Linked DNA regions of Drosophila melanogaster. The protein of the gene in region 1 interacts with the protein of each later gene in a pairwise test. Each region holds a gene or a part of one and is shown in the gene's direction. Other genes may lie near its edges.

Region 1 (3,428 bases):
ATCGGTGGAGCTGGTGTGGTGACCAGGAGCTACGTGGCTGGCAATACCATCACCGTGGGCGTGAAGATCACCACCAATCACTTGGGTTACTTCGAGTTCCACCTGTGCAACCTGGACGCCTTCGGTGCCGAGTCGGAGGAGTGCTTCGATCAGAACCGCCTGCGATTCATCGATGGAAGCGATAGAAAGGATATCGGCGATCAGATGGGCGAATTCGATGTGACAGTCGTCCTGCCGGAGGGTCTTACCTGCTCTCACTGCGTCCTCCGCTGGACCTATGTGGGTGGTAAGTGGTGGCCAGAACGTAAATGGAACTTAAAGTGAAAATTAATTGAACATCTTGTGCATTTCAGCCAACAACTGGGGCATCTGCGATAATTCCGGAAACGGAGCCTTGGGCTGTGGCCCACAGGAAACATTCAAGAACTGCGCCGATGTGAGCATCTACTGGGGTCGCAACCTGGTCAAGGAATTGGTCGGTGGCGGAGATCCAGTGGCTCCGGTTGAGGTCGCCTGAAAATCCAGACTAAAATTCAACGAACTGCCATTTATGTCTGAAAATGCAAAATGCCAAATAGTCAGCTAAAGTTATTTAAATAAATGAGTGAACATTTACACATTAGTTAATTGGGTCCTTGGAGCTGCTTCCTATTTATAGAAATTTAGTTTTATTTACTGTTTAATTTTGAGATCTTATCCAATTTAGATACATTATTTAAACAGATGTTAGAGATAGACACATCATAACCAATATTTTTTAAGTCCAAAACTATGCAACAAATTGTATAAATCAGAATTTGTTAATGTTCTACGGCCTTCAGGTATACAGTATTTCTGCTAGGTTTTGACCTAAAAAGCAAGCAAAAAAAAATAATAGAAATTTGTTTATATATAATAACAATAATAGTGTGTAAATTGAAGGCGAAGTGGCTTTAAAGAACAGAATTACGTTACTTATAGTTCGATTCTTTTCATTGCAAATTTCAATATTTTGTTCGCTTTCACCTTGATTATTAATGCTTAATTGATGATTCTGAGAACACGTTGTATCGATAAAACAAAAGCATATAACCGCAAAAGTTGACCAAATAGATTGTGTTTATAGGGCAATTTAAATTTATGAAATCTGAAGATAGATATGCATCTTTTTTTGCAGTATGTGCTAAAATATATGTCTTATTTTGAGCCAAAGGGCCATGAAAAAGGAAAATAGTGGCTTCAAAGTACTCGCATGTTTTATCTGGAGGCATCATGGAATAATCGAAACTAAATAATTGCTGATTTATTAATATACGAGCAGCTTAATCCCTGAACTTAAACGTGGCCAATTTTTTTTAGCTGCGCGCAAGTGCTCTAAATTTGTTGTTTAAAAAAACATTTGCGTTTTTGGCTATTGTATGGACCGTACTACAATATATGATTGGCAGAAAAGTGCTGAAGTCAAAACCAACTAAAATAGTAAGTAATTGCACTTAAGAATCGTTGACCTTGGCTAACAAATTTTGCGAAATCGTGAGAATTTTTCCAAGCCTTTGAACTCCTATCAAAATGGCATTGGTGGGCTAAATAATAATAGCATAATAAAGCAGTCTTCCAAGTTATTATGATTAGGTTACCAAAAAATACGGGTATTGCTTAGATGTGTCATATGTGTTTTCACACTTTCCAGGTCAGATACAAGAAATTCTCCCAAATTCTAACTACCAATAACCATAAACGAAATTAAGATTGTGAGCCGATAAGATGCATTCACGGTTATTGGACGAAAAATCAAAAACAAACATAAACTGCCCGGCAACTGATAAGGTTTGGCAATATGGAACTATATAAGGCCACGACCAGTTCGTTTTGGCCACAAAGAAAGTGAAATCAATATGAATACGTATAAATTTATCCTGTTTCTTAGCATGGGTTTTTTAAACCGGATGGGTGAACTGGAGGGCCACGGTATGATGTTAAGTCCAACCGGAAGATCCTCGCGTTGGCGCTACGATAACTCGGCGCCAACAAACTACGATGACAATGCATTATATTGCGGTGGATTTTGGGTAGGAGTGCCTTAAAAAAATTCTATATTCATTTGATTCAATGATGTTCTTAACCCTTTAGAAACAAACCGAAAATGATGGCAAATGTGGACTGTGCGGAGACGACTGGAGCTTGGAGCAGCCGCGACCCAATGAGTTGGGTGGAAAATATGGCAGTGGAGTGATTGTAAAGAGCTTTGCCGGAGTAGATGAAGCGGAAATTAATGTTAAGATCACAGCCAATCATCTGGGCTACTTCCGCTTCCACATCTGCGATTTGGACGAAAATGGCAGCGAGTCGGAGGATTGCTTTAACCAATATCCTTTGAATTTCACCGACGGTAGCCAGAAGTACTACATTAACACCACCACTGGCGATATCCCAGTAACCGTGAAACTGCCCAGTGATCTCAACTGCATTCATTGCGTTTTGCGCTGGACTTACACGGCGGGAAATAATTGGGGTGTTTGTGAGGATGGGACGGGCGCCATGGGTTGTGGGGCGCAGGAAACCTTTATTAACTGCGCTGATATCAGTGTACTATCCTCAGCGAGAAGTATTATCCAGGAGGTGCCCGTGGAGGTGGCGGAATCGAAGTGAGGTGGTTATCATCAGCGGTGGCCAATCGAACAATACTGCTAGTCTCAATAAATTATGTAACTTATTTATTTCTAATTGTTCCAAATTGTTCATCAACAATACGATTTTGTTTTAAGAAAAGGTTATTTTATTACTTCAATTCTTCATTTATGTATTGATTTAACAATACTTGATAAAAAATGCACCTCAAAAAGTTCCATTTAACAATAAGACAATAATAGTTAAGTATTTACGAACCACCATAAATAAATGCCATTTTGAAAATTATGAATGTTTATTTCTGTTTTATTCAATAAATTAATCGTCGTATATATTATTTATACATATATATGAGTGTGTGTTTTGAGTGTGTGTGTGGATTGTTGGTGATGACCGTTCGTCTTTGAGGTGCAGGGCATCGCACTCCCTCCTCCTAAGATGGATCCTACTTATTAAATTCTTGATTCTGAAAGCCCTGTCTTAGACGTGTTCTTAACGATCGGATGAGATTTGCACGGTTGAGTGCTTAAATATTTGTTGTTTTTAAGCTATCCTGTTTATGTTCGTATTTGTATCTTGTATGTTATTTTAATATTCGTAATTTGTCTTAAGTTATTCGTGGCTTACAAAATATGTTTCACATTAACTGGCTTATTAGTTAACTTCACAAATAAGTTGTATGTATATATATATGCATTCTTTTCTTTTATATTTTACAAAGCCTTCAAAAGTCAATTGCAAACGATAAGTCGGTAAATTCACTACAAAACTCAAAAGTCGCGTTTTAAGAATATCTATTGGTTTACGTTTTCCTTTTAACA
Region 2 (4,711 bases), on another chromosome or scaffold:
TTTATTTATAATCATATTGAAAATTAAAACTAATAATAGGTGTTGGTTATCTTTAAAATTGATTTCATTATCAAGTTATTATGCTCGATACGTGCATACTGATTGGCACAAGGCCCACTTTTCCTCAATTTTCCCGCTGTGCAGAGAATTTCCCGCGGCCAGGCAACTTGTGCTGGGCACACTTCCACATCTCTACTGCCACATCATCCACCTCCATCGACAGTCCGTTGCTGGTTTTTGGACTTTTCAGCTTTTCTCACAGGGGCTGGCGTTTTTCGGCTGCCTGGGCGTTTTGTTTGCATAGAAAGGCCGGAGGGGTGGGGCGGCGAGAGGCGGGGCGGTACAGGGGGTGTGGTTCAATTAGCCCGCTTCTCAGCTGCAGCCCTGAAATGCAACAGCTCGACCGGCAGCTTCCAGCTGTGGGAGGCCCAACTGGCACGGGTTAATCTGGATTGGGTTCCGAATAATCACGACTTCTCGGGATCTTCCAAATCAGAGTCTAAGTACATATGTACATTGTTTTTAGTTTTCCTAAAATATTACTAAAATAACATGCTATGTAATCTTACAAATACTTTGAATTTCGTGAATTTTCTGAAACAGAATTTTCAAATGTGTCAGATAAATTCCAATTGTTAAACCCTTTTCTGCAGCCTTACATCCGGTGAAATCTTCCAAGTATTTGTTATGATTTTCGAACATTCTTAACTATCTATATATATTTAGCAATATTTTCCATTTCTAAACGCTGTGATAAAACCACACCTGGATTTATTTTGCTCAAGCTAAGACCATTTAAAGTCGCAATTTCCAGAGTTAGTCTACTTTTGGGGGCAAAGCTGTTGCAATCTAAGTTTCGCTGGTCTTTTCCAAATTTCCTTTTCTTTAATTTAGTCGTTTTCGAGGTAAAAACACGACCATTTCCCCGCAAAACTCCCTTTCGCTGCGACCGATAGTAACGAAAAGTCGAAATGGAAAACAATTTGTCATCTTGCGTGGATTTTCATTTCTATTCTCATACATATATTTCGTATACCCTTTTGTTTTTCCTACGATTTTCAGCTATCCAGTTCTGGGAAAACAACATTGGCGAACATTTAATTGAACGCAATAGTAGTTGTTGCCGTGTGTGCATTTGTTTTCAGTTTTTAACGCAGGCACGCGATGAAAGAGAGGGCCGCAGGACTGTCGAAAGAGACGGCACGAGGGGCACGTGTCCGTGTGCGTGCCATCTCGCTCGCACAGCGGCCATCGCTCTAATTATAGGTTAGGCCCGTCCGATCTGCCATTGGCCAAAGCGTTCATATAGAGGGGGCTGTGCTCTGGGAACTGGTTTTACCCAAAGCAGCCGGGGTTTTTATGAATGAAACTGGAAGGGAAAGGCGCACACACCACCAAAATACGAATACACGAATGCATATATATATATATATATATATCTTTACCCCTGGCACCCATTCGCACCACTCTAGAGAGTGGTGTGTGTTGTTTTATATTTTGTTGTTGCTGTTGTTTTTGGATTGTCTGTACGAGCGTCTCGCTTGCACTGATGGCATCGTTGGCCCCCACGTTGAATTTTGGTTAGTTGGAGTGAATTTACGACTGTGTGCTATCTCACTCGCACCGCTGCGGCAGCTACGCCGGCAGCGGCAGCGACTGTGGCAGCGTTGGTGGCAGCGGCGACATTTAGACAAGCTTTTTGTTCGCGTGAAACAGTTGCAAGCCTTTGAACGATCAGCGACGACGGCGTTACTTTTGGCGCGGATACAGCAGCGACACTTTTTTTTCGTTGGCAGGCGCCTCCTGTCACCAAACAAACAAATAAATAAACAAATAAACATAAAAACAAACAAGCAAATAAATAAACAATAAACCAACAAGCAAACAAACAAACATAAACAAGCCAACAAGCAGCCAAGCTAAACAAAACAACTGTGTGCATTTTTGGTTCGAGTTTCCTTTAATTTCCATCGCTTATATTTCATTTTTTTTTTGCCTGTGTTCCTTAGAAAAGAAGTCTATAAAGAATAAAAAAAATAAAAAAAAAATTAAGCCCATATATAGGCACAAAATCCCAGTGACAATAAGAGCAGTCAAACATTGCAACTCTCAGCAGCAAACATCAGCCGACGGCCGAGTGAAGAAAAGTGCAACGCCGACGGACTCGAGAAAAGATACAGATACAGATACGGATTATACATATCTGGGCTATTAGCTGGGCCATAATCTGCTCTCAAGCGATTTAGCCCACTTTGCTTTTTTTCTGAGTGCGTGTGTGCTTGTGCTGTGCTGTGCTGTGCTGTGCTGTGCTTGCCAATCCATTTGTCCATGTCCTTTACATCTTTTTTCCCTTACTCTCCAAGATCAGTGAGCCTGGCCTGCAACAATAGTCGCAACAAAGAAAAAAGTAGTTGAGTTGAGCAAGAAGAAAAGAATAGAAAATCGAACCCTAAACCCAAGTGGCCGCAAAACAAAGCAGAAGCAAAACAGACAGCATCATTGTGCGCCTCAAATTGACATCAGCAGCAGCAGCAGCAGCCGCAGCAGCAACGACAACTGCCACTGCCACTGCAGCAGCAGCAACATCAGCAGCAGCAGGAGACGCAGCAGGAACATCCACAGCAACCATGTTAACGGACATGACACCGACCGCCGGTCAGCTCTACGGATCCCAGATTCCGGCCATGGGCATGAACATCAGCAATATCGCCACACACTTGCAGAAGCCACAAGTTAATCCGGTAAGCCGAAATCTCAAATCCCAAATCCGAAGATACCAAAACCGCACCTCGAGATATGTATCTGCAAGATAGGTCACTACAGATACGATTTGGTCAGAGCGTTCTTATCGAAGTGTATCTTTCTTTTAACACTGGGCCTCAATTATGCACACTTACCGTCACTTTACACACAATTGCCATCCATCGAATAGAAAACTATCGACAGCATAGCCCAAAAGTAGTAGATTCTATTATACAGATACAATTACAGGGTGTAGAGATACAAATGTATCAATCTGTATAAGAAATTATAAAATTATGCCAATTATGGTGACCATTACTTTAGATACAATTGTCATGTCAGAAAGTTAATATTTGTAATATACAGAATTACAAGCATAATTGGGTCTTAATCAACTGTTCTAGAAAAACTAGTGTTTTTTGCACCCAAAAACGAAAAATGCCAATGTACTAAGAGCAATTTATTACACCCACTATTCGCTTCGCTAAACATTTCATAGTTATCGCTGCAGAGTTTAGCCCGAAAGTATCTCATAGATACATATGTGGGCTCACTGCGCACAAGTGACTGGCAGGCATTTGCTGACTTAGTCATGATTTGATGAATGCCTCCCGCAGACACTCGTGCACTTCGACATAAATCATTCGCGCAGAGAAGTCAAGAAGTTACTTTACGGCAAGTATTTCTGTATCTCACAGTTGCGGCTGCCAAATCCTTACCAATTGTCGCTTATAAAATATATGTACATACGTACAGTAATCGGACAAATCAGCCACTTACACGGCATTAGCATTGACAATAAACAGCCATAAACAAACAATGACAACAGACGCCGCGGATTTCGATTTGTATTCAGTTACGGATACGATTTCGCATCCGAGGAATTCACAGTAGCGCACACCTTTTGTCAGCCGCTCAGCTGGATTCCTTTTGTGAGGCGATGATGATTGGAACTCATCGGGATTGTTTGGTAGTATCTAATGCCGGGGAACGGGATACAAATCGATTGGACGCGGCTTGTTCAGCCCCGGATTTTTTCACTGTTTTCTGTGTGCCAACGGATTTCACGGTATGCGCCGCAGATACATAGCTGCAGATACAGATACTATTGATAGGCTGAGATACTGAGGTACCAGGTAGGCGCCGTTTGCCGTTTCTCGTTTCTCGCTCTCAAAATCAATTATTCAGGCTCACTTGAGGTGTGAAGCTAACGATGGAATCATTCCTGGGTCTACTTAAAATCTTTTTTTGTTGTTTTTTTTTTTTGTTTCATTTGGGGTTTTGGCAAATCTGTAGAGATCGTATTTCCACGCTGACTTTTCGACTCGTATCGCTTATCGCACAGCGGAAGCAAACACTTAAAGGCTAAAACGCATCAGGCAGCCGTTCATAATGATCTTTTGGCCCCGATCCAAAATTCGCTCATCAATCTCGTCCGGCCTTTGATCTGGACCGAAAAACTAAGACAGATTTCCGCTAATGATCGTTTTTGTACGGCTCCTCCGGGCTTTTGCTCTCGATTTCAATTCGAATTTCAGTTAGCTGATTATGCAAGTCCATCGTGCTGGCCCACATCATATGATATTGGTTCAAAACCCTGTAATTCACAGCAAAAGGTCAGCGGCTAGATCAGTTGGCTAAAAATAATTTGTTAAATTCCCCAAATGAAAACTTTGATGTCAATGCTAGAAGTCATTAAAATCAGAATCAGGGTTTGTAAAGTATTTAAAGAAGAATATAGTGTGTTCTAAAGTGTATACTTTAAAAGTTTAGCCAAACGAATAATTAAATAAATAAATTAGGGTTGATTGTACTTTAGATATACTATCTCTGTTCTGAAGGATTAGCCCGAATCGCATGACACTTTTAATAGAGTCAGCAACGCCAAATGGACGCAATGTGATTGAGGCACTTTCAATCTGCTGCCCCTGGCCACCACCTGCCCCTCCCCCCTCCCTCCTTTCCAACG

The links. Proteins that work in one complex are often made in the same cells at the same time.
Region 2: the proteins of CG4367 (region 1) and Sp1 interact in a two-hybrid assay, tested with the Drosophila melanogaster proteins (one large-scale study listed by BioGRID).

The regions. Positions count from the first base shown.
Region 1 is NT_033777.3:20,303,402-20,306,829, reverse strand, and holds CG4367 (uncharacterized protein), read left to right. Parts: upstream 1-1,852; 5' UTR 1,853-1,874; coding exon 1,875-2,048; intron 2,049-2,109; coding exon 2,110-2,628; 3' UTR 2,629-2,875; downstream 2,876-3,428. Other genes in the region: CG4362 (uncharacterized protein), read left to right, coding at 1-286, 354-517.
Region 2 is NC_004354.4:9,727,937-9,732,647, forward strand, and holds the start of Sp1 (Sp1), read left to right. Parts: upstream 1-1,711; 5' UTR 1,712-1,947; exon of another isoform or gene 1,948-2,363; 5' UTR 2,364-2,627; coding exon 2,628-2,741; intron 2,742-4,711.